Lytechinus pictus: one gene and its partners. The protein of the gene in region 3 binds, or shares a complex with, the protein of the main gene of each other region. Links are inferred from orthologs where the notes say so. Each region holds a gene or a part of one and is shown on either strand. Other genes may lie near its edges.

The links. Proteins that work in one complex are often made in the same cells at the same time.
Region 1: smad nuclear-interacting protein 1-like (region 3) and E3 ubiquitin-protein ligase RNF113A-like share a complex: the UniProt entries of both Homo sapiens proteins name them as parts of the minor spliceosome. The link is inferred for Lytechinus pictus from reciprocal best matches to the Homo sapiens genes SNIP1 and RNF113A.
Region 2: smad nuclear-interacting protein 1-like (region 3) and U5 small nuclear ribonucleoprotein 200 kDa helicase-like share a complex: the UniProt entries of both Homo sapiens proteins name them as parts of the minor spliceosome. The link is inferred for Lytechinus pictus from reciprocal best matches to the Homo sapiens genes SNIP1 and SNRNP200.

The regions. Positions count from the first base shown.
Region 1 is NC_087247.1:22,149,238-22,156,653, reverse strand, and holds the start of E3 ubiquitin-protein ligase RNF113A-like, read left to right. Parts: upstream 1-4,394; 5' UTR 4,395-4,409; coding exon 4,410-4,502; intron 4,503-5,414; coding exon 5,415-5,513; intron 5,514-6,092; coding exon 6,093-6,200; intron 6,201-7,362; coding exon 7,363-7,416. UniProt on the Homo sapiens protein: Required for pre-mRNA splicing as component of the spliceosome. As a component of the minor spliceosome, involved in the splicing of U12-type introns in pre-mRNAs. E3 ubiquitin-protein ligase that catalyzes the transfer of ubiquitin onto target proteins.
Region 2 is NC_087256.1:3,906,439-3,914,113, forward strand, and holds the start of U5 small nuclear ribonucleoprotein 200 kDa helicase-like, read left to right. Parts: upstream 1-4,653; 5' UTR 4,654-4,749; coding exon 4,750-4,794; intron 4,795-7,675. UniProt on the Homo sapiens protein: Catalyzes the ATP-dependent unwinding of U4/U6 RNA duplices, an essential step in the assembly of a catalytically active spliceosome. Plays a role in pre-mRNA splicing as a core component of precatalytic, catalytic and postcatalytic spliceosomal complexes.
Region 3 is NC_087248.1:10,826,087-10,833,244, forward strand, and holds the start of smad nuclear-interacting protein 1-like, read left to right. Parts: upstream 1-4,132; 5' UTR 4,133-4,177; coding exon 4,178-4,321; intron 4,322-7,158. UniProt on the Homo sapiens protein: Required for pre-mRNA splicing as component of the spliceosome. As a component of the minor spliceosome, involved in the splicing of U12-type introns in pre-mRNAs. Down-regulates NF-kappa-B signaling by competing with RELA for CREBBP/EP300 binding.

The DNA.
Region 1 (7,416 bases), on a different chromosome or scaffold from region 3:
TAATTGAAAGATCAATGCTCCTTGTAGAATTGAATGAATCACAGCCAGGACAAATAATGGAGTATTTAAAAAAAGATGACCCAGGGATACAGAAAGCATTTTTACGTTTCGTTTCAAGAACGAAACGTTTTAGTAAGGAGTGATGTACTATTTTAATATTGTATTGTCTATAAGAAATATGAATGGATATGCTTGTACAAGTCTAATGTGAAAAGAAGAAAAAATATATATATATACATAATAATGTATGATATAATATATACAATATGATATATTCTGCACATATAACTAACAAAGCCCACAAGTGTTTTCGCCTTGTTGTTGTTGTTGTTTAAAAAAAAGAAACAAATTATTTTAATGTTTAACCCATCTGTAAGCACAGGTACACTAGCGCCCCCTCGTCTATGCATGGGTGACCTAGGCATTTATGTCCGAAAAATCGGCACAATGTACCGTGCTGACCGGTATGATTGCATCTTTGAAAGGGCAGGGCAAGCGCAACTAGTTGGAACTGAGCTGAAGATAGCGGTTTGTTTTTGGTGAAGTTTTGTTTATATGCCATTTTGACAAGAGTTACTGCAAACTTTTGTACATATCATAATTATCCTCTTTCATATCAGAAGGATACAAAAAAAATATTTTATATATGTATACATCATATTGGTAATAATATTATTATGTGAGAAGTGAGATTTTTTATTAATAATGTCAATGGCGACAATAGTCAAATATGACTAATCGCCACTCAAACCAACATAAGAAGAAGAAGAAGACTAAGGACGGATCGAACGAAGTATCGTGGTTGAGATTTGGAGGTAAGCGATAAAAACACTTTTATAAATAATTTCCAATTCCTTTTTACAATGAACTTAAATCATACGATCAAGATTAACATAGTGGAAAAATATTTAAAGGTTTGGCGTGTTTTAGTCCCTCACATTCGTGTGATGAATGAAAACGTCAAAATGCACTATGAAATCACATGCGTTGTGCGAGGTTAGTAATACTAACCTCACATGTTGTGTGAGTGCATCTCATGTATATACTTATAGGTGAAGTACGCCATCTTTTGACAAGATGATGATGAAAGTGGACTGAACGAGCAAGAAAATAATGCTGGGCGTCTAGAATGCAGCTAGCAGTACAAGCTTCAGTACCGTAAACAAACCGGCTTATAAATAAAATTGCGCGCCCTCTTTAGGCCAAATTTGATTTTGTCGCTGATCAAAGGGCATCTACGTGAAGATAAAGAAAAAATACATTAAAAAAAAAGGATCCATATTGTTCGATAAGTGTCATAGCACAATGTGAAATTATAGCTTTAGTGTTATAATCTTTTATTTGGGCAAAAGCCCATGAAAGATTTGCATGTGTCGTGTGCATTTGATATTCCTTCGCACGCGGGATGAAATGAACCCATGGGTGTATTAGAATCTAATCAGCGATGTAGGTCACTCATTCAATAAACAAGCCTATAATAAAAACTTGTTCTCTGTTCTCCCTGTGTGGTGAAATAGTATTGGCAATGTTTGGCTTATTTTCTCTGTCTTCAGCATAATTGGACCAAAACAAACATGCAATCATTGAATCAAATAAAAGTCATGTGTGTTTCTGTGGTACAATTAATGTTGAATATATATGGTAAATGGAAATTATTTACTTACTACCAGGAGCTTGTTTTTTAGCAAGAGTTCCATATGCACCCCCACTAGAATTAAAAATAAAAACATGGAGAAGGTTCAGAATAATATATCTAGCCCTAATATAGAACATATGATTGGGGAGTAGAAATACATACCAAAATATGGCTTTATTCCGTCAAATTTCGAGCATGATCTTTTGTAAACATAAGTCATTTTTTAGAATTTTTAATATGTGTGTTGTATTACTGCATAGATACCACACAGGCAGGGTGGTTGTTGTCAACAAGTGATGTAGGTCATAAGCAAGTCGGAGTCGGAGCTTCGATTAAGGCCGAAGGCGGAGCTGAAACTGGACTCGACGAACAATCATAACAAGTATAACTGTATGGGACTGCTGGAAAAGGTCTTTTATAATGACTTAACTACAATCATCCTATACACGAGGTTATAATTTAACCTAGTCTCCCCCTTTATAGTTGAACGTACATGTTGACAAAAACAAAACTTACATCACTTTAACTTGTTCACTGCAACCACCCTGCCTGTGGTGAATGTACATATTATAGACTATATAACACATTTTAAAAATTCTATAAAATATCACTTTTGGAACCCAAAATACTCATACAGTCCTATACAGTTATGATTTTTTTTTTTTTAATTACTAACTTGGAGATCAATATTTTAATTTACCAGAGCACTCAAAAACTTTATTTTGAGCATATTTTGGTGTGGGCCCTCTATTGGTGGGAAATAAATTTGGTCTGAATTGTCACCAAACAATCTCTTTTTAATTTTGAAAAAAGAAGTAAATCTAAGTTAGAGCCAAGTTATATGATGAATAGCTGTAATAGAAACTGACAGTGTAAAAAGTGTAAGTCCAAGAACAAGAGAAAATAAGCCAAACATTGCCAACCTTATTTTACCACACAGGGAGTTGTAACAGAGGACAAGGTTATTCATTATACATTTTACATTGGATGAGTGACTTGCATTGCCCATGGACTAGGTGGCAATGGGACCTCAATGAAACCTGCAAGAGTTGTCAGATTTCCAAGCACCATTCTATGAAATCGACAGATATTTGATCAAAATTTTCATATTAGATATAATTTGTGATATCTTAACTTTCCTTTCGAGGACTCCATCACTTTCAAGCTCCAAGCTTAAGATGGAGGTCTCCCACATTTCTATATATATATATGTTCATTAATTAAAGAAAATGTATATATAGATATAATTTTCACAGTACAGTTGATATTTTATAATGATTTATGTGCATTATTCATTATGTTTAAAAAAATATTTGCCTATTATGTAATATTGAAAAAAAAATATTATACTTGTATATTCTTTGTTTTTGTTTTGAAATGTGGAAATGAAATAAATCAAATCAAATCAAAAATATACAAGAACTAATTTCACTTTAAAAATGTTTGTAATTAAAAGAAAAATATAAAATCACTAGACAATTCACCCCCCCCCCCATCTTTGTGTGCATTTGTGTGTTGCTACGGGGATGCCGACTTTCTACAAATACACCACCCCTTATTTGCGCTATTGTCGCCTATGAGGTCAATAGTTATGCTTTGACCCCATTGTTAGTAGGAGTGGGAAAATGCCCTGTTAAGCTGTTTCCCGTAATATTTAACATAGAACCTTTGTAATTTTTAGGTTTAGTTACTGTAGGAAGAGTGCCTTTTGGGACAGCCACCCAAATATAATACAAAAGGTATATATATATGAAAACTGGATTAAAACTCACCAATTTTTCCTTGCGTTGTGCCCAGATTTAGTCCTTACGTCTTGCTCTGAATATACGATGACAAAGTCAAGAGTGACAGATTGAAAAGGAAAAACATACTTGAGTCTCCATTTAGGAGACATTTTTTTAAGCATTACATTTTATTCAAAGTGGTAGGTGCTAATGAGTGCTTAACATCTAGGGCATGAGAGGTGCTAGTGCAGTTGCACATGCCACCTGTAGTAAACCACTTCACTAATAGTATATCCAAAATAATTTTATGCAATTACCCGCTTGTGGCTGTATCCAATAACGTTGGTGTCGATATAGCCACACGCCGCTGTTTAAGAACACCCGACATGTGCAATTTGAGAGGGGTACGTTTGCAAGCTTGTTGTGGCATCAGCCGAATGATCAAAATGACATGCCAATCAAAATTGCACTCAATCAGGCTCAATTGTCCTTGGTGTTTCTCTAAATTTGGTTTAATTCTCACTGTCCCTCTTTTTTTTACTCTTGTTTCAATTTCAAATGCTAAAATTATGCAAGAACTTTAATGTAATTTAGCAATGGCGGATCCCCCGGATCCGCCATTGCCTCCACACCCCCTTTGATATGCCCTTGTGATATTAAGCAAAATATTGAAATAGTATTGTATTTTTACATCCCATTTTGATTCTTGTTTGATTTCTTTTATTTTATTGAAATAAACTTTCTTTTGTGGCAGACTTCCCCTTAAAGTAGTCTGGATTAGTTTTTACTTGCACTTCATTTTCAATTGTTATGTCTGCCTAACTCATTTCTACATTTCATGAGTCATGATAGTCATTTTGACTATTCACCTAGCCTATAAACCCTGTATGCATTCCTATGTGACTTATCATATATCAAGTAAGTTTGCTCATAATGGATTCAGAATGGTTCTGACTCATTCCAGTAGATTATTTACACCAGTAGCCCTGATTTGATATTTCTTTATATGTTCAAAAGTTATTTTAAAGTGCTTTTCTTATTTTCCTTTTATGTTCTTTTGTTATATAGGAAGTAATGAAGATGAGAGTGCTGTTGTAAGGAAAGAAAGGAGACAAGCCATTCCAAATCCTATGAGACAAAAGGTAATACAATTCGGCATTTGTACCAACAATTGACTTGTCTATTTCACTATTTTTATATTTCCCTTGTACATTGTTTATCAGATTTGTAAAAATTAGTGTAAAAGTCTATCATACTCTGGAATCATTTCAGGAGAGATGTTAATTTGATACTGTGTTCGCTTGATGGCTAGGTATAGGTTTGTTGTATGGCAACATTTCTTCTGGAATGAAAGTCTCATTAATTAATTGCTAATTGTACTACTGAAGTAAAAATTTGGGTCTAATTTATACTAACACTTGTACAACCAATGAATAAAGGAACATGTAATTCATTAAAACAGTTAAAAGGAATTGCTAATTTAAAGGAATTATTAATTGCTAATTGTACTACTGAAGTAAAAATTTGGGTCTAATTTATACTAACACTTGTACAACCAATGAATAAAGGAACATGTAATTCATTAAAACAGTTTAAAGGAAATGATAAAGATATAGCCTTCTCATATAACAGCAATCTGAAATTCAAAATTCATTGGACTGTAGTTTGTACACATGTATGCTTTTCCAATTGTACGAGTAATTTGCTGTTTTTTTTCCTTTAACATTTTTTATATACAGTTTGTTTACATATTAATCATTTTTCTTCCAATTATTTTGCAAAGTGGAATAGATAGTAATTAAATGAAAAGAAATTTAAAATAAGTGATTATGAAAAGTAATTAATGTAAGATAAAGTATTTTGAAATCATGCATTCACAAGTATAGGTTGATCCCAAGATTTGCATAACCGCACCTATTACTGATTATTGCAAGAAATATAAAATTTAATTCCAAGACAAACTTTATCATTACCCCAGTTTGGCAGGTATTAAAGGGGGGAGGGGTGAGTAGTTGCAATAAAGATTTTAATATGAATATCTTCCTTTATTTTAGACGAAGAAACTGAGTGAGAAGCAAGATATCAAATACAGTGACAGTAGTGAAGATGAATCTAAGGATACGATGGTCAGCTATAAATCCAGTAGATCCGCTGTGAGTATTCAATTATTTGTCATTCAATACTTCATCATTCTTAAAATGATTTTAACGAAATATTCATACATTACAAAATAAAATGATAAAACTTGTCTTGCTTCATCTTTGATGACTTGTTGGCTATTTATCAAAATGGCATCTCCATCTTATGTTTACATTTCTTATCGAAGGAGGAGAGAGATTATTTTTAATTATGACAGTTCATACCTGTCTCCACATCTTAAATCATTGACTTCTGACTTCACAATTACTCTGAAACTATCCTGACTCCTGAACAAATACTTGGTCAATTTGAGGTGATTTAGCAATTTGAAATGAGTGAAGAACAGATTCAGCAGAGTCTTCACTAGTCATCCTTTCATAAAAGCTTGCCCAAGTCTAAGCATTTTTCAAACCAGAATATACAATGTAAATGAATTTTCCAAGCCAAATTGCACCCAAATCACGCAGATTTCTGTGATGCTAAGAGGTTTGAGTTCAGTAGATTTGCCTGCATTGATTTTATTTTTTCCCAGGATAAAGGGTTGATTTTACATTCCTTTAAAGTTTGAGTTATTGATGGTCTTAACTTTTCAGAAACCAACTGGACCAGAAGATGGGGGTGCTACAGCAACCTATAACCTGGATACAGATTTCAATGAAGATGCACAGGCATTGTTTGAGAAACAGAAGAAGATCAATGAGGTATGCAAAGAATAATGCATTACTATTCCAATCCAATCTGCCACAGCTACATTGAATAGAACAAGGAGCGATTACATCACAACCCATATTTGATAAAAGAGGACCATGGGGGCCCAAGATATGACTGTATAAATGCCTTCTTTGCCCATTGAAATCAGTGTAAAAATTTGCCTGGTTCCAATTAGTTATGAAACCGGCCAATTAACATTGATTTTAATGGGACATATTAAGTATGCATTTGGCAATAGCTTGGGCCAGCATGAAGCTGTTTGTGTCAATTTGGTGTGTCAAGGTTTTTTCATTATACTCTACAGTGGCAAAATGAGCTGAAAATTTTAAGGACAACATGGCATATATTGAAAAATATCTTTAAAGTTGTGAGCAAACAAAAATTCTGGTCTTACTAAATTGGAAATCTAATTTTGCGATGGATATTGACAATAATAATGAAAAATGATATATTTGATCCTTTTTTATTTTCATTTTCTTTTTTCTTCTTCGTCTTCTTTTCCTTGGCCAGAGCCCCATGTTGGTACTTTATATCATTAAGTTTAAGCCTGAGCCAAGTAGCACCTGGTTCCATTCCCAGAATGCAGATTCATTCTCACAAAAATGTCAAAATTTATTGCCCCAACCATGTTTTGGCCTGCTCGCCCATTGGCTGGGCAAACAGTAGGAAAGTAAGGGAATAATACCAAGAGTAGCCTACAGTCCCTAACTTTCAAATGCTTTCCCATACAAGCAATGAAACAAAAGATTTGTATTCATCAGCAAGAGAAGATTATACTTGCTTTAATATATTGGGATTAATACTTTCTGCATCAGAAAATTCCCTAATCATTGTACAACAATTCAGCACATATATATTGTCTTTAGCAGAGCTGATTTTATAGTCTGCTTTTCGAGAAAAAAATTCCTGCCAGTTCCCGGTTTGCCTCAGTCAGGTTATTTAAGTGCAACCCAATATGGATGAATTTCTCTGCCTAAAGGAAATCAGAATCAGGGATAGGGTTTGACCCTCTGATGAAGAGAAGGAACCACTACACCATGAAACCGCCATAAATCAAATGCAGCTTAATCACTCTTTATTCATTACAGCACAGTCAATGTCTTGTAGACAGGACATGGTTATCATTTTCACTGTTTTTTTCTGCTCATGTAGGAGTTGAAAGGAGAGGAGGATGACAAGAAGTACAGAGGAATCAATAACTATCAT
Region 2 (7,675 bases), on a different chromosome or scaffold from region 3:
GAAGAAAAAAAATTCTTCATATTGTCAAAATGTGAGGTTGTAAAAGTTGAAGACAAAATACAAGACTTTGATATCCGTGTTTTGCTCACTGCTAAGTAGTTGAACTACATATTACACATCGCATGCGTAAGTGAACCCCAAATCTTGTTCTCTTATTTGTTGAAGCTCTCACCAAATTTATTCGCATTCAATCAAGTACTAGCGAGGGATATTATTAATCAATATTAACAAGATAAATCATTTTACAGCTTAGGATGTGATTGTTCAAGATCAATGAGAATCTTTAAATCAATGTATTTATTGTTGGTATTGGGGTGGCTGGACACATATAGCAAGTATTATAAAACCAAGACATGATCATGGAAAGCAACTGCAGTTTGAGTAAATAAAAATATACGCTATAATACAGTTTAAAATACGTTTATTTTCAGTACTGGCAGGCCTAGGACCATGATAAAAGATACTAAAAGTTGGCAAGTACTGTGTGATAACGGCATGCATTCTTATCAAGTTTTTGCACAAACATTTACAAAGACTGTTTATGTTTATTCTTTTAAAAAACCTCCATTGAAACTTGCCTCACCTCCTTTTAAATTCGCTTCACCATAATTTGTAGTACCATGGGTGTCGATCACGGGGGGGGGGGGGAATATATCCCCCCCCCCCATTATTTCAAGTGGGGGGATGGTCTGTATTTTCATCCCCCCTATAATTTAGGGTAGAAAAATTATAATAATGATGATGAAAAAATGAAAATTTGATCATGATGATTATATGCCATCAATCAGTTTGTTTCCCTCGCAATTTGTGTATATTGTTATTAAATAAAAACATTCTTTTCCATGACTTTTAAACAGATTGATGGAGGTTCAAGATGAAAAATAATGAAATGTTTATGTATATGATATTTTTAAATACATGACATAAAAAGACCCCGACGAAAAACAACTTTTGTTGATAGGTGTTCCATCCCACCAGTGGTTAATAAATTAATTTTAACAAATCAATTAATTCAAAAGGGTGTATAAATAAACGGGAGTAAGAGGGTGGCAAGATCAACGGGGAAAACCCCATGGACGTAAATCCCAGAGGGGTAGATCTTGAAAAAGTACAAATAACTTTTCTCAGATTTATCCCTCCCCACATCCAAGTGCATGATGTTTGTCCATCCCATTTAATCTACAACCCTTTGCCTGGTTATATACCGATGTATGTCATGGTAGTATTGTTATATATTATGTTCGGCATTCAGTAAACCTTTGAACATGAAATTATACCAAAAGGAAGATGTGCACAAAACGAATGTCACCTCTACTTGTGTATACCTTGACTTGAACGATAAGTTTTGGTCAATAATATTTTGCAGGAGAGCATTGATGTCCTCATTACCTATCTAAACTCCTCACAAAAAGTTTGGAAATCAGTTTGGCTATTAATTTCTCCCAACTCCAAATTTTACACAATGCATATTTGACGTCATTCAAAAGATCACTTAATTCTCTGTCATCACGAAAAGAACAGGATTCAAAAGTGTTGGATGAGGTCTGAATTTGAAAGCTGCAAAACGAGCAAAAAAAGTTTGGAAATCTGAGTTTGGCCGATAATTCTCCCAACTCATCACCACGGAAAAAAAACCAGTAACTTTCAATATTATGTCATTGTGCAACTTTTGAATTTTGACCTTGCCCCACATTTCAAGGCACTGCACCTCCATGTGAACCATAATCATATCATGTAGGGTATCATATTAAAGAGAATTAGATGATCTATTCAGTGATATTACTAACATATTGATATACATGTATATTAAATTTGAGGAGGGATTATCGATCAAAGTCAGATTTCCAAACTTTTTTTGAGGAGTTTATGTGGAAATGAGGTGCCTATAGTCATGAAAGAGTGAGCCCATATCACTTTTAAAAAGTCATAATGGTCGTGTGGTGATCAGTAGCTCATGTGTATGGTGCTTTTGTTGTATGCGGTTGGATGTAATTAATATCAAACATTTTATCATGTGACCCCATCAGAAAGAATAATCATTCATTTCTCTTTAAAGCGTATCTTCGGATATGAACATCGGATTTTTTCCATGTTATTCTTGTTATGGACTTGAATAACTAAACTTGATTGATTTTTTCTTATTTTGGCAAAAAGAAATCTCTTTTGAGTTTGGAAAGGGATGACAGGTTTGCAATCTATATGAGCACACTCATGCGGTACGTAAATTTCATTTTAACACATATATTAGCTGATATTACACACTGATGGTTCAAGAAAATGTTGGAGAAATATCATAACAGACAGTTGAGTTTTGATTGTTTTTATGTTTGTTTTTGTTTCATTCACTTACAAAGCATTTAAAACATGTTAAAATCCAGGGTTAAAATCGTCTAAGGAATGACGGTAAGCCCGATGGCGCACGAGCTAGAAGCCACAACGTTTGTAATTTGTGCTAGTCTTAATTTGTCCGAATCTGCATTTTATCATCATGCATTAAGAAGAAAAAAAATATTGCCAGTCGGGTTAGATTTAAGAGAGAAGTTGTATACATCATGCTCAATAAACAGATCACTTTGTACATGGTCCAGACAATTTTTGTCATTTTTTCTTTCGTATGAGCTTAGAACATGCTTACTTGTAACACAAATTGAATTTTCAAAAAAAATTATACATAATACAGTACACTGCAACAATGAAGGAATTTCCAAGAACACCATGCATATCAACCACTCCCAAATGTTCTAACTTGTGATTTTAGTGGGGGTAATGTTGAAAGATCCCCATCCCCAAGAACATTTGTGTCAATCATCCCCCCCCCCCAACCAAGAATACCGATTGACACCCATGTGTAGTACAGACAGTTTATTCTTTTTAAAAACCTCCATTGAAACTTGCCTCACCTCCTTTTAAGTTTGTAGTACAGTTTATTCTTTTTAAAAACCTCCATTGAAACTTGCCTCACATCCTTTTAAATTTGCTTCACCATAATACAGTTTATTCTTTTTAAAAACCTCCATTGAAACTTGCCTCGCCTCCTTTTAAGTTTGTAGTACAGTTTATTCTTTTTAAAAACCTCCATTGAAACTTGCCTCACCTCCTTTTAAGTTTGTAGTACAGTTTATTCTTTTTTAAAACGTACCTCCATTGAAACTTGCCTCACCTCCTTTTAAATTTGTAGTACAGTTTATTCTTAAAAAAAAAAACCTCCATTGAAACTTGCCTCACCTCCTTTTAAATTCGCTTCACCATAATTTGTAGTACAGTTTATTCTTTTTAAAAACCTCCATTGAAACTTGCCTCACCTCCTTTGTAGTACAGTTTATTCTTTAAAAAACCTCCATTGAAACTTGCCTCACCTCCTTTTAAATTGGCTTCACCATAATGCAGTCTATTCTTTTTAAAAACCTCCATTGAAACTTGTCTCACCTCCTTTTAAATTTGTAGTACAGTTTATTCTCTTTAAAAACCTCCATTGAAACTTGCCTCACCTCCTTTTAAATTTGCTTCACCATAATTTGTAGTACAGTTTATTCTTTTTAAAAACCTCCATTGAAGCTTGCATCACCTCCATTTAAATTTGTAGTACAGTTTATTCTTTAAAAAAAAACCTCCATTGAAACTTGCCTCACCTCCTTTTAAATTCGCTTCACCATAATTTGTAGTACAGTTTATTCTTTTTAAAAACCTCCATTGAAACTTGCCTCACCTCGCTCCATTTAAATTTGTAGTATTTTACGGTTATTCTTTTAAAAACCTCCATTGAAACTTGCCTCACCTCCTTTTAAATTGGCTTCACCATAATGCAGTCTATTCTTTTTAAAAACCTCCATTGAAACTTGATCACCCTCTTTTTTAATTTGTAGTACAGTTTATTCTTTTTAAAAACCTCCATTGAAATTAACTTAATGCCTCACCTCCATTTAAATTTGTAGTACAGTTTATTCTTTAAAAAAAACCTCCATTGAAACTTGTCTCACCTCCTTTTAAATTGGCTTCACCATAATGCAGTTTATTCTTTTAAAAACCTCCATTGAAACTTGCCTCACCTCCTTTTAAATTGGCTTCACCATAATGCAGTTTATTCTTTTTAAAAACCTCCATTGAAACTTGTCTCACCTCCTTTTAAATTGGCTTCACCATAATATTCACGTAAGGTATATTCATTCTTTAAAAAAAAACATAATTGTTCACTTCACTCTACTAGATCAATTAGCTATATATAATACCTTTTATTCTACTCTATTCTTCCCTTTAAAAAAAAACCTGATTGTACTCCTGCCTCCCCTGATCTGACATTTGCCTCCCAACGTACTGTACATATAGTGTTATTATCTCTTTATATCGGAAACTTCGTTTTACCAAGGAGAGAGTGATATCTCCTTGGTTTTACCGAATTGCACTCTCTCCGAAGCGGTTTGAAGTCTGTCTAGCATGGAATACTACCAGCCGATGGTACACACACACACACACACACTCACACACACACACGTTATTTGACAACTTGTCTCTGGAGCCAAAGTTCCTCGCATATAACTATCCTGTATCTGCATGCCTGCACGCAGTGTGTATTGAACACGCACGACCACGATCTAATGAATATTCATCGGCGAGAGTGACGTCATTTTACGAGTCTCCTTTCAAACTTGGTTCATAAGTGCCTACCCATTAAAATGCGTGAGTTCTACTTTTGTGAAAAACGTCAGTTAATCGTAAGATAATTCATCAAGAAGTACACTTTACTCTTTAGCCATGGCTGATGCTACGGCTAGGTCACTACAATATGAGTACAAAGCGGTAAGTGATATTTGATTTGTTTGTTTAAGATGTAATATCGTCCCTAGAGAATGTAGATTCCCAGCTCGCTTTTCATTTTTTTTGCAATTGGGCTTGGCACGCGCAACACTTGACTTTTCCCACCTATTGTAATCTGTGTAATGTGCTGTGCGGACAGTCTTGGGTTCTAAACTTCGAACACAATACATCATTTTTCGAATTCCAAGTAAATATGACAGGAAAAATCATGGTTCATGCTAATATAGACCCATTGAGCAGTTTACAAAAATTATTGAATGGAAGTTGGAATGGAGAGTGTTTTTTTTTTGGGATAAAACTCAAAAGTAGGGATGCCACCACAAAAATTGAAGTGTTGTAAATCTAGTATTAAATAGTTTTGACTGGAATAAGCTCTGAAACACGAGTAAAATGACACCAAGATCATAAAAAATTGGACCAGGGGTTGCCGAGATATGGCCAATTCAAATTTTGAAAAATGCCAAAATGGCAAAAATTTGTTTTTTGCCATTTTTAAAGCTATCTAAGTATTTTAAATCTTGATGAAGTATAGAGGTTGCTTTTCCTTGGGGCACCTAACATGTCAACCACCAACAAGTACCTGAAAAATTGGGTCCGAATTACTTTTGGTTTTCACAGTTTCATATTAACGGAGTTCAAAATATGGGGAAAACACATGTCACAAATTTTCACCTTTGGACTAGTGCTGTTGTCGGGAACAAAAATCCATGTTGACATGTCGCTTAAAAATTAATCCCGACATCGACAATGTCGACATGAAAAAGGGACTGTAATTTAGCCTAGGCTCCCTAACACAAAAAAAAATAATTCGATCGTGGAACATAACAGTAACACTCTCAATCAAATGTCTTCACCTTGACACGAGTGATATCCCCACACTAGATCTAGATCTATATAATACAGGCTCAGTTCGGGAAACATTTTGACTAAGCTAGAGTGAATTCACTTCCAAAATCACTGATTAATCCACATTTTTTTCTGGAGAATCAAGTTTTTGTACCACGATCCGGTCTCGAAAGCATTGTGCAATAACACTCGGAGCCAATTTGAGAATCAACCAATTACAACAGTGATCATTGCATATTATACGCTGGTACTCGTGTTCTGCAAACGCAAGCTCCTCAAATTGACCAAAAAAAATAATGAAAATCGACCGATAATTTCAGTATCACTTCCGCGGCGATCGGTGCAACGATCTCCAAACGAAGGAAGGGAAGTTTTCTGTGACTTCGTGATATGAAGTAAGTAAGCTTGTAACCGATTTTGCAATCGGCAACCGATTCCATTCGATTTCACCACAATCGGCAATCACTTGCCGATCTTCGATCATGCCCCTTGAAGGAAAAAATCGAAAATAAAAAATCGGCGTAGATCCGGTTACAGTGCGTGATCGCTCAGAACATATTTCAAGATTGTTTTTGAGGTGCTAGCTATTTAGAGGTCGCATTATTCAGGGAGAAAGTCGCGGTATTATCTATGGCAATGTTTAAGGGGATAGATATCTTCTCTTCCAACTCATGGTGATAGCGGATGCCGCCGTGAACTTTGAAAGGTCGTATTACCGACGGAGCTCACTGCGTTACTCTCTTACCCCCTTTATAATGATATAAATCTTCTCTTCAACCTCGTGGTGATAGCGGACCCCGCCATTAACTTTTAAAGACTGTACTATTGACGGAGCTTATTGCGTTGCTCTCTTACATCGTTTATGATGATATTCATTTTATTTTCAACCTCGTGGTGATAGCGGAAGCCGCCGTGAACTTTGAAAGGACGTATTACCGACGGAGCTCACTGCGCTACTCTCTTACATCGTTTATAATGATATAAATCTTCTCTTCAACCTCGTGGTGATAGCGGACCCCGCCAGAAACTTTTAAAGACTGTACTATTGACGGAGCTTATTGCGTTACTCTCTTACATCGTTTATGATGATATTCATTTTATTTTCAACCTCGTGGTGATAGCGGACGCCGCCGTGAACTTTGAAAGGTCGTATTACCGACGGAGCTCACTGCGCTACTCTCTTACATCGTTTATAATGATATAAATCTTCTCTTCAACCTCGTGGTGATAGCGGACCCCGCCAGAAACTTTTAAAGACTGTACTATTGACGGAGCTTATTGCGTTACTCTCTTACATCGTTTATGATGATATTCATTTTATTTTCAACCTCGTGGTGATAGCGGACGCCGCCGTGAACTTTGAAAGGTCGTATTACCGACGGAGCTCACTGCGTTACTCTCTTACATCGTTTATGATGATATACATTTTATTTTCAACCTCGTGGTGATAGCGGACCCCGCCGTGAACTTTGAAAGGTCGTACTATTGACGGAGCTCATTGCGTTACTCTCTTACATCGTTTATGATGATTTACATTTTATTTTCAACCTCGTGGTGATAGCGGACCCCGCCGTGAACTTTTAAAGATCGTGCTACTGACGGAGCTCATTGCGTTACTCTCTTACATCGTTTATGATGATTTACATTTTATTTTCAACCTCGTGGTGATAGCGGACCCCGCCCTGAACTTTTAAAGATCGTGCTACTGACGGAGCTTATTGCGTTACTCTCTTACATCGTTTATGATGATATACATTTTATTTTCAACCTCGTGGTGATAGCGGATGCCGCCGTGAACTTTGAAAGGTCGTACTATTGACGGAGCTCATTGCGTTACTCTCTTACATCGTTTATGATGATTTACATTTTATTTTCAACCTCGTGGTGATAGCGGACCCCGCCGTGAACTTTTAAACATCGTGCAACTGACGGAGCTTATTGCGTTACTCTCTTACATCGTTTATGATGATATTCATTTTATTTTCAACCTCGTGGTGATAGCGGAAGCCGCCGTGAA
Region 3 (7,158 bases):
ATTAAGGATATTCATAAGCCTGATTTATATCCCTTCCTCATATATCTATCTCCCCCTCTCTCCATCTCTCTCTCTCTCTATCTATCTATCTACAATGGGTATCAATACACTTTGAAAAAGTCCTGGGAATTGAAAAATATACAACATGGTGATAATTTGTTCACTTATATACTTGGGTTTGGGTCACATCTATCAAATAAAAGTAAACATTTTGACAGAATGTTACACTTGAGTGAATATACTGTCCATTGATTTTTGTTAAGCTTGCAGAAATCGGTTGCACAGAAATGCTCATTTTGACGCTATGTCAAGCACAAAGGGCGAAAGCAAACTAACCGTGTGGTAAGGTACATTTCTCATACATTTCCTTTGTATTTTTAGCGAATTGAAATAAAAACAGTACGCTCAACCTTTACTCCTTTCTTGTGCCAGCTGGATCTGAGGACACAACTGAATGTAAACAAAAGTTTATTTCAGACATCTACATGCCGCACTAAGTTTTTATCATTTAAAGTGGGACCACATTTCATTAATACTTGTTTATCCCCCGGGGTTTCTCCACACTTTTCCCAAGCTTGAAAATGATATTAAAGGTCAATTCCACCCCAGAAAAACGTTGATTTGAATCAATAGAGAAAAATCAAACTAGCATCACGCTGAAAATTTCATCAAAATCGGATGTAAAATAAGAAAGTTATGACATTTTAAAGTTTTGCTTATTTTTCACAAAACAGTTATATGCACAACTCAGTGACCTGCAAATGAGCCGTAAGATGTTATAAGAATGGTAATACCACATGTTCAGGTAGGAATAAAACTTCATTTCGCAGGACAATGAGGAGAAAATTAGAATAATTCATATTTCATATAATAAAATAAAAAAGAAATAGTGAGTGAGTGATGTCATCAGTTCTCTCATTTGCATACCGACCAGGATGTGCATATAACTGTTTTGTGAAATTAAGCGAAATTTAAAAATGTCATAACTTTCTTATTTTACATCCGATTTCGATGAAATTTTCGATGTTATGTTTGTTGGATTTTTCTTTTATTATTCAAATCAACTTTTTGCTGGGATGGACTTGTCCTTTAAGTGGTACTCACAGTTATATATCGTCATTTGCTTTAGGAGATCTGTACAAATGGTTACATGTGGAAAAAAGCTTCAGGATATTACAAATCTATAATTTTACAGCATTATTTCTAAATGTAAACTGTATACGCACTGTATATCTGGGGGCTGATTTTCAAGATTTCAACCAATATATAATATTTCAAGTATCTTATCAGATTTTCAAATATTCAAAGCGCCTAAACACTTTTATTAGACTATTCTTAAAAAAAGGTGCTGAAAACCATTATTCTTCATGATTTCAGATTTACATATTTTGTTCAAAGTGGTAGTCATTGTGTGATTCCATAAATTACTTGGGGAAAAATAAAAATAAAAACTAACTGGCAAAAAGTTATCTTATATTTCACAATATACAACTCCCAAGAATGTTTTGTAATCTGAAAACACTTTTTGCCAGTTAGTTTTTTTTTCAGGAATTTTCAAACTGAAAAACAATTTTTCATGAATAAGAAATCTGAGCTGATTTACCATTTTTATTTAACAAATTCATTTCATTTCAAATTTTCAACAAAACTATAAAAAAAAGTGCCGGAATTATGATACAGCATATATTAAAATGAAATGGGAACCTTCTGGAAAGCATATAGCTATAGTTCCCTCCGTTAAAATCACATTACAAATACAAAATAATCCCATGTATTCGTATTTTGTTTGGCACCCAGTTGATTGGGGTTTAAGGATTTAACCCCTCTCTTGGGCTGCCAAGTAAAAAAAAGTAATAATCTACATTTCGGATCAAACCCCTGATTAGCTTCATTTTATAGTGAACCTTTTTTTCTGGTAAAATGACCTTCTTTTTTAAAACCATCTTTTTTGGGGTGTAAAAAGTTCTCAGTACTCAAAGGACCTCCTTTTGGTAGTGAACCCCTTTTTTTGTCTTGCAAGAACATTTCTCGGTACCCAAATGACCTTCTATTGATAGTGAAACCATTAAAAAACCAACATTTTTTTTTTATTGCTTGCTTGTCAAATTTCTCGGTCAAAATCCCCTCCTTAGAAAAAAGCTAGATCTGCACCTGTCATCATATTGATCATAATCATCATCATCATCGTCGTCGTCGTCGCTTTATCATCATTATCTTCGTCTTCTTTCTTACATTATTCTTCTTCTTTCTCATTTTTTTTTCTTTTTTCTTCTCTTTCATCTATTTCCCCACGACTGAGATACTTTTTTTTTGTTTTGAATAATATTTTATTTTCTTCCTCTTTCAAATCAATAAGTTTACAATCACAATTCATATAAATAAAGATTCTTTGTATGTATACAATCAATAAACAATCAAACAAATAAATATATCAATATCAATGAGATTACGAATATTTTTAAAATGATTACAAATTAAATTAAACTGCCAAATTTCTCTTCTATAACAATGTGAAAGCAGAGGGGAAAAACCCGTATCAATCGACAAAAATAAAAAAAACGTACTTTGTAAAAAATGAATTTTTCCCTGAATAGAATAGAAATAATCTCTTTTGCACATATTAATTGTACGAAAAAAAAGAAAAAAAAAAGGATAAAATATTATTTTAAAGGTTAATTAGAGGAAGGTTATCCTAAAACGTCCCTACACACTCACCTTACCCCCATACCCCCATACCCCCTCCCCCCCTCATCTCTCTCCCCAGACACTCACACAAGCTCACTTCAAACCACCACTACTCACAGCTCCCCCCCCCCCTCTTCCCCGTCACAAAACTCACACATCCATCTACACACGTACACCCACACACAATGCATCCTGCTCTGGTACAATTATCTGTATTTGAACAAATAAACAAAACAGAAACAAAATGAAGCAACCAATACATCCATAGTATTAAGAAAGGTATGCATTGATTTGTTCCCATTTCCTTAAGTGCACCCCCAGCTTCCCCTTTTTAAACGCTATTTGATATTCCGTATCTCTATACTCTTTAACCAAATGTGTCACTTTCTGTACGGTTGGCAATATTCCCTGTTTTCTTGAACTAAAAATGATATACTTAATTAAGAATATAATACAGTTTATTAAAGCTACTCTTGTAGTATTTCCAGATATCCCCATGAAAATTGTTTTCCAAACGTCACTGCCAAGTTCATTCAGTTGAAATATTTTACTCATCTCTTCCCATAATCGCTTAACTTCAGGACAATAAAAAAATAAATGTTGGTAAGACTCAACTTCTTTTTTACAAAAGGAACATAAATTATCTGTCTCAAAACCGAATTTAAAAAGTTCCCTTTTTGTGTACACAGCCCCTTGTAATTGTTTGTATTGAAATTCTCTGTGTTTATTGCATAGCATTGCACATAATCAATTTGAAAATTTTCAATGAAGTGGTCATATATTCGTCTAGATTTTATATCACATAGTTTCTGAACATGCCCACATATCATCAATTGAATTTCAAAGTTGTCTGTATCCATTTCCATAAAATCATTTTGTATCCACTCTTCTGTTATTACTGAAAATATCTTTTGAATTTTGAGCAAGTTTTCAGATGAAAATTTCAGATTATACCAGTATGAAACTGGTCTTAATTTACCTCCAACTATTATATCCGAGACCTTAACTATACCTTTCTGAAATAATTCAATATAAAAAAGGTCTTATTATTAAGGCATAGACGCTTGTTATTAAAAATAATGGGATTACTTTTCCCTCCAAAATGTCTACACTTATCCAATTCGTGTCATGCCTTCAGCATATCTATGTAAAATAATGGTATACCTTTTAAATTCATTCTAATCGTATCATAATCACACAGAAATATGATTCGACCACCTAAAGAGCTAAAAAAATATTCGAAGGTTGCTTTCCAACCCGAACTTTTCCCTCCATCTAGCAAACGTTTAATCCACATTATTCGTTGGGTCTTAACAAAGACCTCAAAATTTGGAGCTCTCAGTCCTCCAACAGAATAGTCTTGATATAGAACCTTGCGTTTTATTCTATCTCTTCCTCCCCAAATAAAGTTAAAAGAAATACGGTCTTTTGATTTCTTTTATAGCGCCATCTTCCGTTGGGCATTAATGTAGTTTTTGCAGAATAGAGAAAAATGTCATCAAAGTCAGACTCAAGAAAACATCGAAGCCACGACGATTACGATAGACATCGTAGTCATAGACCAAGATCTCGCAGTAGAAGTCCGAAAACTAGTAACAGAGAAAAGGATGGTAAATCCCATCGCTCTGAAAAATCGGTACGTAGCGGAGCAACTTATTACAATTTCAGACCAAACAGATCCGGCTGCCGGCTGCGACACCTCGAATGGCACATGCACAAAAAATTAACCCGGCCCTAGCCCGAGGGCCGGGCGAGGCGCGAGGTCAGGGCAGCTGGCGGGCTGGTACGGTATGTATGGTGAAACTAATTTCAAAAGCCGAAGCAATACCTAACGTTATAGCCTATGCTATGGCTATGGATGGAAACTTCGACTGTTATTTCTTATTCGTCAATCATGTACACCGTTTTGCCCCTGTCATCATCTTCATCATTTATTAATCACTCACACTGACTATTGCGAGGTTAGTATAATTTAAACTATAAATGTATATTCTATACTAACTAGGCCTATAATATAGTATACGAACCTCGTCCTCGCACAACCATCATGTTTTTGTAGTGGATTTTAGAGTTGTCGTTAACATCGCTTCATAACGTGAATGATGTTAGCCGAAACCCATTCCGCTACTCACCAGGGCTTTTTATGGTATAAAGCGTTCCATTTTCAATTTTTAACATATTTTTTTAATTTAAAAGGATACAAAAAAGAGCAAAATCGCTTACCTCCGCCTGGAAAGTGGCTTCGCACGTCTCTTCCACGGAAATAATAAGGAGGTCGTTGGTGGCGCTAATACAGTTCACAACCTTAATTCAGCTGTGTGTTTTTTTTTAAACTAGATTCATGATTCATTGTATGCGCAATTCCAATAATTGTTTGATAAAATAGAGACCCCAATAAATGCAATAACTTAAAAAAAGTACTTTTTTATTATTTTTGCTGACGATAATACTTTTTGGAAAATATTCAAAACGATGACAAATTAAACAAAAAATATAGATAATTCTATGTACCTTGAACAAAGCCCCGCAAGTGCTACCGTTCGTTTGTCAATTAATGTTCCACCAAAGTCTTTACAGTAAAAAGATTGAACACTGCCGACTTCGCGTAACGCTTTGCATCGATTTACGTGTAAGATAATTTCTGTGTCTAGTCTTTCAATTGTAGTGTCTTTGATATGAAGATAAATCGCGCGCCCTCTTTCGCTCATTAGACGAAAAATTTGAGAGCTAGAAAGGTAGTGTAGGGTTGAAGAAAATTATATGTTTGGAGTTGAAAATAAATGAAGTTCTAAATCATCAAACTGAAGGGGAATGAAGCAGACGCAAAATGAAGAGAACTTAAACCGAAGGAGTCTGGTTGTACACTGTTTAATATCTGGGCTATTTTGCCTCAGCTTAACTTTGGATCACAGTATAATTTACATAAATATTTAAATTAGAAATAACCAATCAAACTAAAGAAAATGGAAGGATCGAACTAAAATGTAAGAACCCAATTCATAAGATAAACCAATAAGGAATGAGATGAGATGACAAAGATGTCTGGTGATTATGTAATAATGGAAGTAAAAACTAAGGAGTCAGGTGAGGGATGGAATGAGTGGAACACCTGAAGAGAGAATAGAGAAGGAATGAAGATGACAAGAGAAACACAGGAAAGGCATTCAGAGTAGAATGAATGAATGACAACTGAATATCATTAAACTCAAATAACCTTAGTCCAGACTGCAAGGGCAGTACTGAAAAGAAATGCAAATGAACTAAGATCTAGACAGAACAGAAATGTAAAACACCTTAAGAAAACACAAGTCAAAGGAAATAAACAAAGTAGGTAAATGACAAATTAACAATCCTACAGTAGCTTTCGTATTTTGTCAACGAGAAGTAAAATCAACGCTTAAATGACGCATTTTGAGGGATATTCATCAAATTATGAGGAATTGACTTCACATCGTTTCGTTAGTTTCGTAGGAGGACTTCATTCTGTAAGTCCTCGTATTAATTTTTCGTAAATTAACGTTATTTGTTGAATGCGCCGTGCCTTCAATTATTCTGTAGTCGGCGGCTGAGATGTAGCCGTGGGTGTTTATTAATCAGACATCAATCATTGTCGCCGTCGTCGCTTCATCATTTCATGATCATCATTATGATCTTCGTCTTCTTTCTCATTTCTTTTTTAATCTATTTCCCCACGACTGAGATTATAATGGGTCTTTTGATTTCTTTCAGACTCAAAGTCGCGAGTCGCATTCAAAATCAGACCTTTTCTTCGCTAGTTTCAACTTTAAATAGTGATAGACAAAAGCTAATCTCCTAAAGAGGGCTAACTTAGCTTTAGTCTACTCTAGATCCACTCACAAAAAGTCACATGTATTGCGAGGACAGTATTAGTATACTAACCTCGCACCATGAACCGCGTTTGGCAGTGGATTTCTAACTAGTGGGTCGCGCGTGCTGCGATCCCACTTCTGGTGTCCACAACACACGACTTCTATGGCTTGATTTTTCTGTGTGCAGCGGCATGTAATGAACCCTTGAGTGACTAGTTAGATCAGACTACGCTACTGGTTGAAAAACCAGGATTGTCCAGAAAGCTGCAAACGATAACGTCTAAATAGAGAAAATTCTAATGAACTAGGAGAAATCATGTCTTGATAAATTGAGATTGTCTTTGTTTATTATACAAACATTTTTGTCTCACCTGCATAGCAGAGTGAGACTATAGGCGCCGCTTTTCCGACGGCGGCGGCGTCAACACCAAATCTTAACCTGAGGTTAAGTTTTTTAAATGACAGCATAACTTAGAAAGTATATGGACCTAGTTCATGAAACTTGGCCATAAGGTTAATCAAGTATTACTGAACATCCTGCCTGAGTTTCATGTCACATGACCAAGGTCAAAGGTCATTTAGGGTCAATGAACTTAGACCATGTTGGGGGAATCAACATCAAAATCTTAACCTAAGGTTAAGT